Linked DNA regions of Macaca mulatta. The main gene of each other region encodes a partner of the protein of the gene in region 3 in a complex. Links are inferred from orthologs where the notes say so. Each region holds a gene or a part of one and is shown on either strand. Other genes may lie near its edges.

Region 1 (5,831 bases), on a different chromosome or scaffold from region 3:
AATCTTCTTCAGATTTGGCCAGTGCCTTGGCAGGGGAATCCAGGAACTGCTGGGAGAACTCACAAGGTGGGAAGGCATGAAGGACCCCGGTGTTTTCCTTGTCTTTGTTGCCCCCCACAGGGAGGCTGATCACCCCGGCTGCCTGCTTTTGCTTTAAATAGGACACAAGGTTCCTAAGTGGCCTCTGAGTAGAAGTGGCAGTGTCTGATGCAGCTGAGGAAGAGGAAGACCGGCTGTCAGAACTTCCAGGCACAGCCAGAAGAATGGCATAACCATTGGGCCCTGCTACTTTGATGCGTCGAGTTACTTCATCCAACTTGGGCTGGTCCAAACGGAGACGCTGAGTGATCTTGAGCTGGGCCACTTTGCCTCCAGTTGAACCCTCCACAAGAAGACTACTAGCCACTTGGAGGTCACCCTGCAACAGATGCATGTTGGAAGGAAAGTTGCTGTTCTTCAGTAGAAGCATGCCCTGCCAGGCCAAACAGAGTTTGGGAGAGGCTGCTGCCGCAGGGGCTGTCCCCCCATCCTGTTTCTGGGACGGGGACTTCAGCTTGCAGGAAGCAGTGCTGGTGCTAGGTGCACTCCCATCAGAGCGGTCTTCTTTTTTCAGAGGGCTTTTTCCCTCAGTGGGAGCAGTTGTCCGGTGCTTCCTATCTCGTTCAGCTGATGCAGAGTTTTTACGGTCTCGCTTGTCACCCTGGCTCTTCTCCAAACTACCTCGTCTGTCTCTGATTGGAGAGGGCCTTTCCAAGAGAAGACGGGAAGATCGATCATTGTCGCTGTTGTAACGATCCCGGCTACTGCTCAATTCTGGACTGCGGTCAGGAGAAGGAGCGCAGTGACGTTTTCGTGGGCGGTCACTCTCAGGAGACCTATCCAGATGACGTCCTCCACTCTCCTCAGGCAGCCTTCGCTTCCTAGGCTGGTCTCTGCTGCTGGGCAGATCTCGATCACCTCTGTCCCGGTCCAAGGACCAACCATCCCGCCTGCGATCAAGGCTATCCAGTGGCTCGTAAGCAGGCACAGAAGTAGCTGCAGTCCGAGTGCTGCGTTCTCGGACTGGGGGTGGGGGTGGCACCCAATCAGAGTCAGGATAAAGGTCCCTATCACGATCTCTGTATAGTAAGGGTGGTGTCCTATCCCGAGCACCCCTCAAAGGGTCAGGTGCCCGATGTCCAAAAGCATCTGTCACCAGCTCATAATGAGTCAAGGGCAGAGGCTGCAGATACTGCTGCTGGTAACGATGTTCGGTGTCGGCAAAGTCTACTCTAAGGCGTCGATCTGGGCCACCAAGTGGGAAGCCCCGCATATGGGTCCAGGCAGCATGCGCTGCATCCAGGCTTTCATACTGGATATATGCCCAACTATCACCTTTTCGGTAGTCTATGGTGCGTATGGTGCCAAATCGATCAAATTCTCGTGCCAGGGCAGCAAGAGGAACCCAAGGTCCCAGGCCTCCCACCCAGAGGCGGGTGGTAGGTGTAGCTTTACCATAACCAATTTTGATAGGATTCCGAATTATAATTTTGCCGGACATTGCTAATTTGGCCCGGTGAGACATATCTAAGTTCTCAAATTTGAGAAAGCCGTAAGTACTAGTCTGGCCGCGAGAAGGCCTCTTGATATCTACTTCTGTGATGACTCCAAAGCGATCAAACGCCCTTCTTAGATCATTCTCCGTTACAGTGATGTCTAGGTTGCCCAAGAAAAGCGTCCGGTTAGCTCGCTGATCATCCTCGGGTGAAATCTCATCCACTTCTCTGAAAGGAGCAGCACCTGCTCCAGCTCCCACCCTTGGCTCAAGACTGTATGCAGGGCGCACTCTCTCATAGAACGGGTAGTCTCTTTCTCTCTCCAGCTCTCGAGGCAATGGTGGCGGAGGTGGAGGGGGCAGGCGGCCAAGAGCCAACTGCTGCAGCCGGTAGTCTCTGTATCCTAAAGCAGCGCCACCAGGGGAAAGTGATCTCTGGCCTCCACCACCTCCAGGGGGGTGCCGGTGACCACCTACAGAGGCCCCGACCACGCTGGCTGAAGGAGGATAAGTATCTTTGTCTAAAGGGGAGCGGCTGCGGCGCCGGCTCACATACACAGCTTCTATCTTCAGAGGCCGGTCATAGAGCACCAGGCGGCCTCTGGCATGCTTGGCCGCCCGCGCGTCCTCTGGCCGCCGGAAGTTCACAAAGGCTACCCGCTCATCCCCGCTGCCAGAACCCGACAGATGACTGATTTTGACACTTACATCACCGAAACGTTTGAACTCATGAAACAGGCCGTCCTCCACCGCTTCGTCACTAAGCTGGGACCCCAACTCGCTTATCTTCAGAGTCTTGTATTCCGCGCCGTCCCCGCCGCCGGGAGCTGAGGAGGCGGCCCCAGAGGAACGTGACTCCCCGCCTCCACCCCGGGAGCTGCTGCGCGACTCGCCCCCGCCCGAAGAATTTTTGGTGCTCGGGGAGCTATAACTATGCAAGCGGCTACTGGAGCTGCCCCCACCGGTGTCATACTCGCGGCTGCCACCTCGACTGCTGGACTTGTCCAGGTGGAGACTCCGCCGCGACCCGCCGCCGCTATCGGTCTTTCCGCTGCTGCTCCCATTGCTGCCACCAGAGCCCCCTAACTTCTTGCTCCGCTCTCCGCGGGAAGTCGAGTCCTCACCACCACGGGAGCGTTTGGCCTTGACTGGCGAGCGCTCTTTTCCCTTCATTGTTGCGGGTCCTCGGAGGTCGTCTCCGCGGAGCTGATCAACCCGCCGCCCCGCGCTCGTTTCACACAGCGGAACCGCACGCCGCCATCTTGGACTCCGCCGCGGCACAGGGTCCCGCCCCGCAGTCCTCATTGGCCAATTAGCTCTCTCTTCTACAGTCTCATTGGGAAAATTATTTGTCTATCTTTACATCTCCCCGCGCTCCAGGAAGGCGCCCGCCCAACCACTGTTATTGGGTTCCCAACCCCCTAGTCAGAGTACCTCATTGGTTACATTTGTTGTCTATCTTAACGGTTCCTCGCGCCAGGCTGTAGCTCCGCCCCTCGCACTCTGCGGTCACGTGACCCAAAGTGTAGCTGTGTTGATTGGACAAAAAGTCTGCCCTGTAACGGTACTTCTTGCTCAGTGAAAGCAGCAACCCCGCCTCCTCATCCCTTTCATTGGCTTATAAACCCGTCCTTTAAACCACTATTTGGGAGGTGGGGCCAAGTTTCGGCGTTTTTTCGAGAGGCAGGCTCACAGCGATATCGCGAGAGACGGTGAGCTCCCTCTTTCGACCCCCTTTTTCCAACTCCTCCGGCGGCTAAAAGAAGTTTAAATCTGATTGGATGTCTGCAAGGAAGTTGATAGGCTGAAGTAACTGTCCATCACTCGCTTAAAGGGGTAGGCCCATATAACGGAGGAGGCTGACTGAAGGTGAAAGACTAGAACACGTGCTTGCTATGCGACGTCACTTAGATGTCGCGAGAGGGTGACTGTGCGCCAGCCCCGCCTCCCCGCGTTTTTGGCGTTCTCCCCACAAACATTTGTTAAGTTCCGTGGGGTATTTGGCTGTGCTTCGGCCCTTGGAGTTCGAAACTTCTGAGCTCCCCGCCGTCCTACCTGTGCCGGCCAAGGGGCGGGGCAGACTCTCCGGCTGTCGGGGCCCTCCAGTCCCTTAGGAAGCCGTCCTGGGACGCCTAGCGGACACCATCTTATGTCGCTGTGGTAGCTGAGTGTACAGCCGGGGGAAGCCCCGCCCCCCGCGCGCGGGATAGCGATGCCCGCGGTCACCTGGGCCCGCGGGGCAGGGAGTTCACGGTTCCTGCAGCCCCGGGTCACGCTGACGCCCCGGGGCGGTGCTAACACGTAACACGCGGGACCTCGAGAGCTAAGTAAGGTGGCTGAGACGCAGCCCTAGCCCAGGAGCTTGTCTCCCCCCGGCGCTCCCCGTTGCCGCCCAAGTACTCTGGGCAACCGAGGGGAGTGACCGTCGATCCCCGCCTCGTGGCCCGCGGGCGGAGCCGGAACTGTCAGGACACCGCGGACGTGTCTTTGGGCTGCCTGTTTTATGTTGCGAATCTGTGTGGATTTTTAAATCCGGTATTCCCGTAAAATAGCAATGTTTGTTTTTAATATGTAATGCTTCTTCCCTGAAAATCATCGAGCGAAATTTAGGCTCCATGCAGATATGTCGCTTTTTATTCCCCCTGTGGCTTCTTGTATTCCTTGGCACTCCTCTTTTTGTGTGTTAAAAGCCAGCAGCACAGGCACCTTGTGGCCGCTCCGGATCCACTTCGTTTGGCTCCTTCTGTCGTTCGCCTTACAACTTTAATTTCCATAGAGCGTTACTGTGGCGGACAGAGCACCTGTGAGAGGTGCAGGCGATGCCGAGCTTAGGGGGATATGGCCTGTGCCCCAGCACTCGCCGGTTGCTGCAGGGACGCAGCGCTGAGGTCACCACATCCTTTAGACCGTCTGCAGCTCTCCCGGGTATGCGCCGGGGCGGAGGTTATATTGATCCCGTCCTCAACCCTATTTCCCAAGATCCAATCTATAGTAGAGGTGTGAGGTGTTTTTAAACATGACATTTTTCAGGATAACAATAATGTCCCAAAAGCTGAAACCTAAACTTGAAAACTGTTAATATTAGGAACTGTAACCTAAATTTAGCCTTGGCTGAGCCATCCTTCTTTTTGTAAATAATCCTGAGGAATATGAAGCTGTAGGCCTTTTATCTCTTGAATAAATCAAAGAAACTTGAAGGAAGAAGCTCAATTGTAAAGCATAAAAATCCACAATATTGTAATGTGTAGACATATTCATTGTATTAAAATAGGAAATAAAACTTCAGAAGGCATAAAATAACGTGTATAATACGCTACCATTTGTGGTTTTAAAAATATTTGTATTTTATGAGTATGTACATTTAAAAATATTTTCGTGGAAACTTTCTTGACAACTACGTGGGAAATTGTTCCTAGGATTGCCCTGAGGAGGGGTGTAAGGATCTGGAGTCGGAGGGAGACTTCACTTTTCTTTGTAGAAATCTTTTGTTTCTACAAAGGGCGCGCTATTACTCCTTCAGTTTAGAAAATAACATTTTTAACTTTCCTTAAACTATTTTTATGGAAAAAGTTTAAAATACATAAAAGAATAAAGAACTCCCACGTGTACCCAACACCCTACTTCAACAATTATCAAATCATGTCAATCTTGTTTCATCTGCATCACTCTTCCCACTCTTCCTTTCTCCATTGTTTTCTGCAGACTTACCTGATATACATTTCCTGCCCCAGTTGTGGAGTCAGCCATTTCTCCAGAGAGCTCTGGTTCCTTTTAGTGGGAAATGGTATTTAAAGATAAAAATCTGGATGCTGGAGGATAAAAAATACATGAACATATTATTTGTAAAAGCATGAAATAAAAGAAAAAGTTTTACCTGGGTTTAAATGTTTCAGGGTTATATTAATAGACCACAAATGGAAATTGAAGTTAAGCCATTATCTAATTACTCAATATAACAGTCAATTGAGATAATAAACCAGGCACTAGAGTGACTTTTTAACCTAAATTGACCTGCTAAGGTGACTCACTGATCAAAGAAAAAGATAATGACCAAATCAGTAGTTTTCCAGACCTCATGATAGGGGTTGAGGGAGCACAAGATTTGAGAGAAATAATTCAGGGAGACAAGCAGACACCCAGTCTGTGTGAACATGCACCAGAGGCATGCCAAGCTTAGTGGCTTGCCACTTCAAATACCGGAGAGCTTGATGGAAGCTACTGCCCGCGGCTGGCTATAGTACAAAGGCTTGCCGAGGGGGACTGAAAATCTGCCTGGAGCCAAGAGGACTAGTAAGTT
Region 2 (6,106 bases), on a different chromosome or scaffold from region 3:
TGCCTGCAATCCCAGCACTTTGGGAGGCCGAGACAGGCGGATCACAAAGTCAAGAGATCGAGACCAGCCTGGCCAACATGATGAAATCCCATGTTTACTAAAAATACAAAAATTAGCTGGAAGTGGTGGCGCGCACCTGTAGTCCCAGCTACTTGGGAGGCTGAGGCAAGAGAATCACTTCAACCCTGGAGGCAGAGGTTGCAGTAAGCCAAGATCGCATCACTGCACTCAAGCCTGGTGACAGAGAAAGACTACGTCTCCAAAAAAAAAAAAAAAAAAAAAAAAAACTTAAATATACTTATTTATTTATAGTATATATGCTAATTTTTAGTCTAACATTCCATTTTCTAAGTACTTTACAAATGGGAACTTACTATCCTCAGAAAATAAATATTTCATAATTAATGAACTGACAATAAAAACCATTGTGTCTAAAATCATTATTTTGATGCTTTTCTCAATACACTGCACACCTACCTAGGGGTATCTGTTTATTAAAACAGTAATTCTTTCACAGTTTTTTTTTCTTTTTGAGATGGAGTCTCACTCTTGTCTCCCAGGCTGGAGTGCAGTGGCACAATCTTGGTTTAGCTCACTACAGCCTCCGCTTGCCGGTTTTAAGCAATTCTCCTGCCTCAACCTCCCAAGTAGCTGGGATTACAGGCGCCCGCCACCACGTTCGGCTAATTTTTGTATTTTTAGTAGAGACGGGGTTTCACCATGTTAACCAGACTGGCCTCGAACTCCTGACTTCCTGGGCTCAAATGATCCACCTGCCTCGGCACAGTGGCTCATACCTATAATCTCAGCACATTGGGAGGCCAAGGCAGGCGTACCACTTGAGCTCAGGAAGTCAAGGCTGCAGAGAGCCATGATCACTCTACTGCACTCCAACCTATCCAGCCTAGGTAACAGAGTGAAACCCTGTCTCACACACAAAAAAAAGAATTATTTGACTGACCTGCAAGTCTCTCTTGTTTCAGCAATTTCTCTCTGCTCATCTTTGCTATTTAACACGGCACCAATGCTGTCGGCACTTTCAGCTCCCAGCTGAGAAAAGGCAAAATCAGAAATTAGATTACAATGCATTGGACAGCCTTTCTAGACATTTGTAGCAGCATTTAATATATTAAATACTTAAAAAACAAAAACACCTTAATTCACATACACACAATAACAAAGAATTAATCAGCCTGCAAGACAAACTGGAAAAACCCTGGAAAAAAAACTGCATTAATTAAGAATGAGTTTGACAGCTGGCAAACATTTTATGCTTTCAGTTATACGGATGCTCCTTGATTTATGAGGTTATGTCCTGATAAACCCATTGTAAGTTGAAAGTAAATCTGTTTCAAAATAAACGTGGTAAGTGCGTTTTCAACTTATAGTATTTTCCACTTATGATGGGCTTATCAGGACATAATTCCATCATAAGTCATTGAGCAGCCTGGATGCCTATCACTTTCAAACCATCATAAAGTTGATTGTTAAGTCAAATCATAGTAAGTCTGGAACCATCTGTATTTGAAAATAAGACACTTTAGCCAAATTCCTGTAAAGTAATATACACGAATTAATATAGATTGAGCATTCCAAATCCGAAAATCCAAAATCCAAAATGCTCCAGAATCTGGAACTTTTTGAGTACTGACATGACATTCAAAGCAAATGGTCACTGAAGCATTCATATTTTGAAAACTTTTGATATTTGGCATGTTCAACCAGTAATATGCAAATATTCCAAATCCTGAAAAAAGTCTGAAATCCAAAACACTTCTGGCCCAAGCATTTCAGATTAAGAGATATTCAACCTGCAGTAGCAATAACCAAAAAAAGCAGGTAAGACTGTGTTTGCACAGGGTTGTGGGTACCATGTTAAACATTTTGTAGGCATCAGCTTATATAATGTAACTTATTTATGCTATGCTCTAATAAAAATCGATCCAGTTTTACTCAAGCTAAGTCTTACTATTTATGGACACAATGCTGAACTTCACTACCTTAAAACGGCAACATAAATTTTGTTTGGCAGTTGGGAAAATTTTGCAAAATACAAACAAATAATGGTTACAAGGCTAAGTAGAGTGCAACCAATTCATAAAAAAACTTTAAAAGCTGGAGCCCCTGGGATTTGTTGAGTGTAAAACACTCAACAAATAATTGTCCTATGAATGTATCTTGAGTGAAATAGAAATCTGAATTCCATATTAAGGAGTAAAACATCTGTGGTAGCAACAAAGAGCTACTGAATATTATTGAAGATAATACGATAAAAGAAGTTAGGGAAAAGAAGACTTAGAAAGGATATTTGATTTGTCCAAGATCGTAATGCCAGCGGGATAAGGAATAAATCTGATTCCAAGTTCCCACAGTTTCAGCAGTATACCACAAATGTGTTCATCAGATTTCAGAAGTCCATTTACTAAAACCAAGTTTACTGAAAAATAACAGCAAGATGACTAATTACAGTCTATGAGCATTTCTCCTACCACTTTTACTGATATGAATAGTAGAATTGAAAATACAGCCTCGATTTTAAGTAGAACTGTACACAAGCTGTATTTTCTGCTACTAATCAGCAAATGTTAACTTACTCATGCACAAGAAAGAAGTGAAGGGCAATGGTTTAGAAGATAAGCTTTGGGGAGACAACCTAGGTTCTATTTCCCAGCCGAGAAGTGAGCGACCAGGAGTAAAATTCCTTAACCTATGGAGCCTATTTCATTACTTGATAAGTGAAGGTAATACTACCTGTTTCAGGAGATTATTGTGACTAACACAGAGTAAGATTTCAAATATTAACTGTGGATGTGACAAGGATATTGTACATAAGACGCAGAATATAAAATTTACACTCAGACTACTTCCAGTGTAGTCTTCAGAAAGATGTCAAAGAAAATACTGTAAACTGTAAAAATATTTCATAATGAAACCACAATTTCAAGGATTTGGGACTGACGACGAGGAAAAGTAAGAAATAGATGACCAGTTAAATAGTGAAGAGAAATGTAGGGAATAACAAGACACTCATCGTGGCGTGAACATGCCAGACACTCGGTGGGCGTTCCACAAAGGTTAAAGGCTATTCGTGGCATTCGGTTTAGCACCACAAAGACCGCGGAAGGAACTTGAAAAACATTCGGGGCACCACGAAAATTGAGAACTACAAAGGGAGAACCAGGGATCAGGATCGAAGGACCAGAAAGGCCTTAACAGCGGCAGGTAGAGAGGGGACAGAAAAAGGCGGGGTGTGGAGGGAGGAGGCGGCCGCGCACTCGCATTCTCGATCCCTCCCACAGGGGCCACCAGGGCCGCGGACCTGCTGCGCGAGGAGCTGTCGCCGTAACTTCTGCCGCTCCCGGATCTCCTGCAAGCGGCTATCCATGTTCCAACTCCTACTTTTCACTACCCCGAGTACTTGTCAATCGCCACTGAACTCTTGTCCCAACCTTTCTTCCGAGTCTGTGGAACGCTATATTCACCGTGAGCTTATGAACAGAGTATCCTCAAAGCTTTCCTCAGTAGGGACTTCCGGCGCGGCCGATATGGCTTGCTTGGCCCGGAAGTCCCGCCTCCTTCTGGACGCTTGCGATGTGACGCCACTTGGAAGGGACCCAGTAAGGGATCTGTTGCGTTACAGGGGTGTCCAGGGCCGTCGCGGGCTGGGGTGGTCTGAGCTAGTCTGAAGGAGTAGTCAGCTGACTTCTCCTTTCTCTCTCTTCCCCGGGATAGCAGGTTCCCTTGGTGTATCACAGTTTCTGAAGTATTGATTCCCTTTTCAGTTGATTCCACAGATGACAGTCCTAACGTTTAAAAAAATTGCCAGATACCTTTAATTATTATTATTATTTTTTAACAGAACAGGAACTTAAGGCAGATTGCCTAGGATTGAACCTTGGCCTCTCACTTCTTAGCCAAGTGGCCTTGGCTAGTTAAACACCTTCGTGAGCCTCAATTTTCTCATCTGTAAAATGGGAGTCGTAAGTGTCTACCTCACAGAGCTGTGATTGAAAGCGTAAACAGCACCTGGCACATAGCGCTGTAGAAGTGCTTATTATTGTTAATATTTTATTTACCTTCACGCAGGTAACAGCCACAACATCTGCCCATTCTTACCCACACCTTACTGTCCCTTGAAATGTTTCCTATTTTACTATAGTAGACATTTTATGGCTTCTTCCCTTTAGAGAAATGAGTGTGTGATAGTAAAGTGTGTCTTGGTTTATGCCCTAGGAGTCAGAAGCTAAGGCACTCCTTTTTGTGCTTGTACATTTGTCTTAACTGAAAATAACCTAAGGATAAGGAAACGAATAGCTTCCTGAAATTACTCGGATTGCTGGGGTGAGGGGTGAGGGCTGGAGGGTGGTGATTCTGTCGTCATAGGAAGGCAGCAAAGGCCAAAGTCGTATTTGAGTTATTACCATTATTATTCACCACATTTGCCATCTTATTTCAAACTTACAATGGCGGAAGTGGACTAAGACATCATGTTGCCTCAAGTTTAATTGGAAATCGTGGTAAGTACTTACCAAAATTAGTAACAAGTCTGTTCTTTGAGAGTGGATTTAATTTTCAGAAATAATATTAAGTCATCCAGATCAAAACCAGTAGAACTAGATTCTACTAGTCATGCCCACTTTTATAGAAATAATTATAATGTATTTCTCAAGAACTAGGTCTGAAAGGCAATTTTGAACGAGTAGTCCTAAACAATTCCTTGAGTAATGTCAGCACTATTTGGATACTGTAAAACATTTATGTCCATATGCGTTAATTTCTTTAAAAATCGGTTGTATTACCTGGCAATCATTTAAGTTGAATACTGATTTAAATTTTACCAATGGTAAGAACAGGCATTTATTCACTTAAATATCTGTTGATATTGATTGAGCATTTTATATGGCAAGCACTGTGATAGGCCCTAGAGTCTATAAAGTCCGTCAAAGATTAAAAACCAAAGAAGTCAGTTTTTCTTTATGGAGTTTACTGTCTAATGGAGGATTTTTTTTTTTTTTTTTTTTCCCTGAAAAGGTGCTATGCAGGTTACTTGCCTGTAATCTTTGAACCCCATACTCTCCTACCCTCTGCTTCGAGATGATGGCTAGGCAGGGAGTCCACAAACTACATTTCCCAGCCTTCTTTGTTAGATGGCTTCCTGTGAGACTCTGCCCACAGGAGGCACAGGCAGGAAATCAAACGGCTCCTCCAAACATTCACATTACCCTTTTGTGTCTCTGCCCTCTGAGGAACTAGCCAGGTCTAGCTCTTTGGATTTTCCAAATGAGAGGTCAACACATCGATCTCCCCGAGACCTTAAGTTCTTCTAGTGGTCTCTTTAAGCTTCCTCTCTTGAATTAGGGTGAAAAGGGACTTCCTTGAGGAGAGGGGTGGTATCGCAGCCTAACAATAATTTGCAAAAATTTTCTCTTCCAGCCTCTAATTCTCAACCAGTGTAGACTTTCAAAGTGGGTAATGTAATTTAAAGCCTTACAGCCAGTTATGCTCTACTTCTTCTACAAGTCCTACAACCAGGTGGTCTCAATCCTCACTTGCAAAAACTGCATTTACTCACCTCATGCCCTAGCCAAAACTTCCACAACAAATTCTATGGTGCATTTAAGTGAAAGATGTTATTTTATAGATAGATAGATAGATAGATAGATAGATAGATAGATAGATAGAGATATATATATTAGAGCCATGTCAAATGGTTAACTTTTTTAAAAAGGAAAATTTTTTATTTTGATATAATTATATACACTTGTAAGAAATAACACAGAAAGATCCCATGTAGCCTTTGTCCAGTTTCCCCAGTGACAACATCTTGCAAAACTATAGTCCAATATCATAACCAAGATGCTGACATTGATACATCACTTCCATCACCACAAGTGTTCCTCATGTTGCCCTTTTATAGCCACAGTCATTTCCCTCCTGCTGCCACCCTCTCCTTTACCCATAACAACCACTTATCTGTTCTCCATTTTGTAATTTTGTCATTTCAAAAATACTGTAGAAATGGAATAATACAGTATGTAATCTTTAGGGCTTATCTTTTTACACTTGGCATGATTCTCTGGAGATGCATCCAAGTTGTTGCATGTAT
Region 3 (6,078 bases):
CTACCGTATTACAAATTCCTTTGAAATCAAGGGCAATGGGTTTTGTTCTGACTTGTATTGCCCCTCCTAAAGCCATACCCTCACCTCCAAAAGTGTTTTTCATAAATAATTGTTAAACAGATTCTCAGCTTCCTATGGGGCAAAGTAATCTGGCTAATTATCCCATTCCCATCAAACTCACTTCCACACTCTTACCATCATTAGTCCCACTAGTTCTCCTGTCTCTAAAACTAGAATTCTACCATTTTTAACTACCCTATCTCCTTCACACAATCAGTTGCCATCCTGTCAATTCTATACTCGAAATCTGTATATATCCAAAAGATGTATAAATCCTCTCCTATGTAGTTCCACTGGGACATAGCATAGCACTGATTTAGAGCCAGAAAAATGTGTGATGGTGGATCTTAATCTAGCTATGTTATTTTAGTAAAGTCACCTAATCTCTCAAGCTCAGTTTCCTTATCTACAAAATATAGATGACTACCTTTGAAAACTCAGCGTGGGCCCTGCAGTGGCTCACGCCTGTAATCTTTGCACTTTGGGAGGCTGAGGTGGGAGAATCGCTTGAGCTCAGGAATTCAAGACCAGCCTGGGCAACATGGCAAAACACCACCTCCACAAAAAAACTAAAAAATTAGCCAGGCGTGTTGGTGCACAACTGTAGTCCCAGCTACTCGGGAGGCAGAGATGGAAGGATCGATTGAGCCCCGGTGGCAGAAATTGCAGTAAGCCGTGATCGCAGCACTGCACTCCAGTTTGGGTGACAGAGCAAGACCTAGTCTCAAAAAAAAAAAAAAAAGAAGAAAAACTGATGGAAGGACCAGAGATGATTTACTTAAGTTATCAAAGCCCACTGTGTCTGGCACAAATTAGGCATTCAATAAATGTTAAACAATGATTGCTGCCCATTGGCTAACTCAGGTTTTCATAACATCTCACTTTTTCTCCCTGATTTTGTCACCTTACGTCTATTTTCTCTGAACCATTTTAAGCATTATTGATCAAGTAATCTACCCAATGTATCTTACTAATTGTATGATTTGCCTGCTCAAAAACTACCCATTTCCTACAAAAAAAAGTCCTTTTTTTTTTTTTTTTTTTTTAAGAGACAGAGTCTTGCTCTGTCGTGCAGGCTGGAGTGCAGTGGCGCGATCTTGGCTCACAGCAACCTCCATCTCCCGGGTTCTAGCAATTCTCCTGCCTCAGCCTCCTGAGTAGCTGGGACTACAGACGCACACCGCCATGCCCGGCTAATTTTTTGTATTTTAGTAGAGACGGGTATCACCGTGTTACCCAGGCTGGTCTCAAACTCCTGACATCAGGCAATCCACCCGCCTCAGCCTCCCAAAGTGCTAGGATTACAAGCTTGAGCCACCGCGCCTGGCCTAAAGTCCATAATTTTTTGTTGAGCATTCAAGGAGCTCCATGATCTGTCTCTGAACTGCCTTGGGTGCCACTTCACACTGCTACTTCAAGCATATCCTAACAGATGACTGACTACTCCAGTAGAATGCCCTCCTTTCCTAACTACAACCGTGAAATATTGCCCCTTTCACCAAAGACCAAGTTCATAAGCCAAACACCTTGATGAAGTCTTTCCTGATACTCTCAAATGAAAAGTTATCTCTGCCTCCTCTGAAATCATGTATCCTTTATTTATACCCACAAAGACAGCTAGTTCTAATATGTCAGCTACTGATGGGCATTTTGTAAACAAAGATGATAAACCCCAATGAATTCACACTGTGTTTCTTTATGCGATCATCACATTCTAACTCAAATCACAATTTTGTGGATCTAATCTCCAACACTGGGTTATAACTTCTTGAAAACAAACATTTCAATATTTCATATCACCCACAAACCCCTACTTCCTCCTTCAAGACTTGATTCAAATGTGATCTCTACTAAGCCTTCCCCAATCACCCCAGAAGAAGGTATTTACCATCTGCCCTATGCGCTCAAGGTACTCAATGTTTACCTAAGAATGAATAAAAGAATAGATTAAATATATGATAAACTAATGAAGGCCAATTTTCCTAAACTAGAATAGTACTAAACTAATTCATCATATGCCTCTTTCTCTTTTTTTTCTCTTTCTCTTTCTTTCTTTCGAAACAGGGTCTCACTCTGTTGCTCCGGCTGGAGCACAGTGGTGTGATCTTATCTCACGGCAGCCTCGACCTCCCAGGCTCAAGTGATCCTTCCACTTCAGCGTTCTGAGTAGTTGGGGCAACAGCATCAAGCCACCACAGCTAGTTAATTTTCTTTTGTAGAGACGGGGGTTCCACTATGTTGCCCAGAGTGGTCTCAAACTCCTGGACTCAAACAATCCTTCTGCTTCCGCCTCCCAAAACGCTGAGATTACAGGCATGAGCCACTGCGCCAGGCTCCTTCAAATTTAACTGTCCTCTATTTCTATACACATGATAAGTTTGATCTGATCCAACTACTGTCTCCATTGAGGGTTTTCTAAATCTTGGCTGGAATGTCAGAGAGATATAGTCATTGAACAAACAGTGCTAACTGACACTGACCCACATGAAATGTGAGACCATAAATTAATTGTCAGTAAGAAATGCTAACTCGAAGTTCTCCAAATTTTGACTTTTATAAACCTATAAACCATTCGTTAAATTAGATCACAGCTGTCAACTTTCTATTTTGCCAGGTAAAGCATTATGATACAACCACTACCCACTATCATTACTATCTTGCAAAAGAAAGAACATTTTAAACATTTTCCATCCAAATATTTATTGAGCACCTACGTTTTGCTAACAGAGGCACTGGAGATACAACTGAGAAGAAAAGAAATTATATGTATCCTCAAAAAGCTTGATACAAGAACACACTTGACACAAATAAAAGGAAAAAAATAATATCCAAAGAAAGAACAGTTCTGTAAATTGATTAAGCTTACATTAAGACAGAGAAATGTGAAGTCCACTTTTTTTTGGGGGGGGGGAACAATTTCTCCGTAGACTTCATTCGAGTTCATTTTTGGTCTGCTTTCAGGAATCTTTAGTTAACCAGCTATGTTTAATTTACATATTGCTGGGTCAATTGTACATTCAGGGGCGTTCAAATAATTTTGTACAGAAATATTACTCCACAACATTCCGCCCCCGCCCTCAAAAGACATGTCTGCGGATGAGTTTAACTATACTTCTCTCAATGCTCCCCTCTTCGCAAGTATTCTCCGTGAATGCATCTCATTCCTAATGTGTGAAATCTTTCCGAGAGACAAGTATTAAAGTTTCAGGCCAAATTAGAGAGCACCGTAATCCTAAACCGAATGAGTGTCACAACTGGGGAACATAACTCCCGACAGAAAAGGAGCCAAAGAGAAAGGGTTTAGAAACATCGTGATTCGGAAACCACGAAGCCAACGTAAGCTGCTCAGACTCCGGCAGTACTGTCAAACACTACTGTCAAATCAAGACCCCTCCCAAATGCCATCTGAGGTAAACCTGAGAACCCTGATCCTTCTCACGGCCCAAACCTGATAGGAAAAACAAAAAATAAAGCCATGCAAGCAGAAAAGCCAACTCGACCAAAGACACGGAAGGTCCAAGTTAAAGCAAGGAAATGAAGAGGCTGCTGCAGCCCTCCCTCAGACGCGATGCTCACACCGCTCGGGGGAGGGTGTCTGTGTGTAAGCGAGAAATTAAAGAAGTAATCTGCAGAGGGAAAAGTCGAGGACGCCCAACGGTTTTTTTGTAAAGGTCCCAAGTCGAGAAGCAGCGTCAGAATCAAGTCGCCAAGCCTTACCTCAGCGCTCGGGTGTTTAAAAGTATCTAAAAATAGCAGCTCCATCGCCGAGTCCACCGCCATGTTTGCCGCGGGCGGGGAACAGGGGGGAGAACTTCCGGGGCAGCGCTCCAGCCTCGGCCACAGCGGCTCAGGAGAGGGAGAAACAGCGGCACTTCCGGTGACCAGAGCACTAGCGCCGCAAACCTCGGCCTATCCCAACGCATCTTGTTGCCCAAAGTTGCCGGCCCCGCCTTTTCCAGCGCGGCGGCGGGCGCCCCCAGACGCAGAGGGGGGCAGAGGGAAGCGAGATGGGAACTACGGGGTCTCCAGTGGTTCAAACCCTGTCGTTCCGCCGCTTTACAGAGCCACAGCTGTCCCCGGGTGGCGAAGCGCGGAGACGGGGTTTTGGAGAGGGTGGAGGAAGGGGAGGGAAAGCTGCCAACTTTGGATACCAACCCCGTACACCCACCGAAGGGGATGTCCCACTTTTTCCAGCGCTGGGAGCAAAAAGATAACAGTGAGCGAGGTTGAAAAGTAAGACATTGATTTAAATAGAAGAAAAACTGTTGTCTCAACAAATGAAGAGATTCTTTGTTTTCTTATCTGTAAAATGTGAAAAATCGTACTTAACCCACAGGCTGATTGTGAGGAGTAATTGAAATAAAAATCGAGGAATTGTATAACGTGAAGTACCAGGAACAATAAAACAGGAGGCAGAATGAAAAGTAAGCCTCTCGTGTCGGGTGTTGAGCTTTTGAGCAACGAGATAAACACGGCGGTTTGGTAGTCTAAACGGCACAAACCCTTAGCAGAGCAACTAGGAAATAGCTTGTAAAATTACACGTGCCTACCCCTCTTCTAGGAAAATTCTCGCCCACGTATCTACAAATACAAGAATATTCATAGCAAACTTCGTAAGTTGCAAAAGAACAGGAAACATAAGTGCCATTGACAGAAGTAATAACTAAACAGTGGCGTATTTATATAATAGTATATAGCAGGTACGAAGAATGAACTAGTACTATATTTACTAGCATGAAAAATCCCAAAAAACAGGGTTAGCGGGCGCGTTGGCTCACGCCTGTAATCCCAGCACTTAGGGAGGATGAGGCGGGAGGATCGCTTGGGCCCAGGAGCTGGAGAACTGGCAATATAGCGAGTCCCCGTTCTTCACAAAAAGGAAAAACAAAAAAGACAAAAACCTAAACAAAACAAGTTTAACACACCTCATCGCAAGCCGGGTGCGGTGGCGTGTTCCTGTGGTCCCAACTTCTCGGGGAAGCTGAGACAGGAGAATCTCTTAAGCCCAGGAGTTGGCAGCCAGTGGGGACACCCATCTCTTAGAAAAGGAAATAAAAAATATATAATGTAAAATAACATTTATATAATTAACGTGGGAAAGAATATAAATGTTTAGGAGTGTACATATGTCATGAAATTATAAAGTCATGCATTGGAATGACTAAAATTTCAAGGTAGTGGTGAACTGGAGGGAGATGTAATGGAGAAGAACAGAAAGGCTTCACATGCCTTGGTAATGTTTTATTATTTAGGTTAGTGTTCATTTCACAAGCATGCCTTACATTATTGTTTGTACCTTCTGGTATGTCTGAAATATTTAATAATAAATGAGTTTCTAAAGTAAATCTCCTATCCACATCCTTCCTCAGCCATCCAGTTTCCTCTATTAGCTAGCTATAGTTTATCTTTTATTATTTGTTGTTGCATTGATATTTGTTGTTTCTAATATTTTTCTGTTTTCTGATTCTTGCTTTTTTTTTTCTTTAGAAACAGGGTCTTGCTTTGTTGCCCAGGCTGGTCTCAAACTCTTGGCTTCAAGCAATCCTCCTGCCTCAGCCTCCCAAAGTGCTGCAATTATAGGCGTGAGCTACCCTGCCCCGCCCCTTCTTCTGTGTTTAGGCTTATATGCTGTTCTCTTTCTAATTTCTACCACTGATGTTTATTTTTATTCATATTTTTATTTATTACTATATGTATTTATGTATATGAATTTTCCCCTAAGCTCTGCCTTAACCAATGTACTATATAGTGCTTTTATTGTTGTCATTTTACAGTCTGATTTTCTTAGCTTTGATACCCTTTTGTTTTTACATTTTTATTTTTATTTTTATTTCAATAGTTTTGAGGGAACAGGTGGTGTTTGGTTGCATGGAAAAGTTCTTTAGTGGTGATTTCTGAGGTTTTGGTGCACCCACCACCTGAGCAATGAGGGTGCTCAATGCACCCTCTGCCTCCCTGGTTGAAGCAATTTTCCTGACTCAGCCTCTTGAGTAGCTGGGACTACAGTCGTGCACTACC

What was found.
Region 1: VIRMA (region 3) and RBM15 share a complex: the UniProt entries of both Homo sapiens proteins name them as parts of the WMM complex. The link is inferred for Macaca mulatta from reciprocal best matches to the Homo sapiens genes VIRMA and RBM15.
Region 2: VIRMA (region 3) and METTL14 share a complex: the UniProt entries of both Homo sapiens proteins name them as parts of the WMM complex. The link is inferred for Macaca mulatta from reciprocal best matches to the Homo sapiens genes VIRMA and METTL14.

What each region holds. Positions count from the first base shown.
Region 1 is NC_133406.1:129,853,271-129,859,101, forward strand, and holds the start of RBM15 (RNA-binding protein 15), read right to left. Parts: upstream 3,711-5,831; 5' UTR 2,840-3,710; coding exon 1-2,839. UniProt on the Homo sapiens protein: RNA-binding protein that acts as a key regulator of N6-methyladenosine (m6A) methylation of RNAs, thereby regulating different processes, such as hematopoietic cell homeostasis, alternative splicing of mRNAs and X chromosome inactivation mediated by Xist RNA.
Region 2 is NC_133410.1:127,703,469-127,709,574, reverse strand, and holds the start of METTL14 (N(6)-adenosine-methyltransferase non-catalytic subunit METTL14), read right to left. Parts: upstream 3,420-6,106; 5' UTR 3,386-3,419; coding exon 3,320-3,385; exon of another isoform or gene 3,300-3,319; intron 3,223-3,299; exon of another isoform or gene 3,094-3,222; intron 1,051-3,093; coding exon 962-1,050; intron 1-961. Other genes in the region: uncharacterized protein LOC144340831, read right to left, coding at 3,507-3,520. UniProt on the Homo sapiens protein: The METTL3-METTL14 heterodimer forms a N6-methyltransferase complex that methylates adenosine residues at the N(6) position of some mRNAs and regulates the circadian clock, differentiation of embryonic stem cells and cortical neurogenesis.
Region 3 is NC_133413.1:104,942,125-104,948,202, forward strand, and holds the start of VIRMA (protein virilizer homolog), read right to left. Parts: upstream 3,911-6,078; 5' UTR 3,841-3,910; coding exon 3,778-3,840; intron 1-3,777. UniProt on the Homo sapiens protein: Associated component of the WMM complex, a complex that mediates N6-methyladenosine (m6A) methylation of RNAs, a modification that plays a role in the efficiency of mRNA splicing and RNA processing.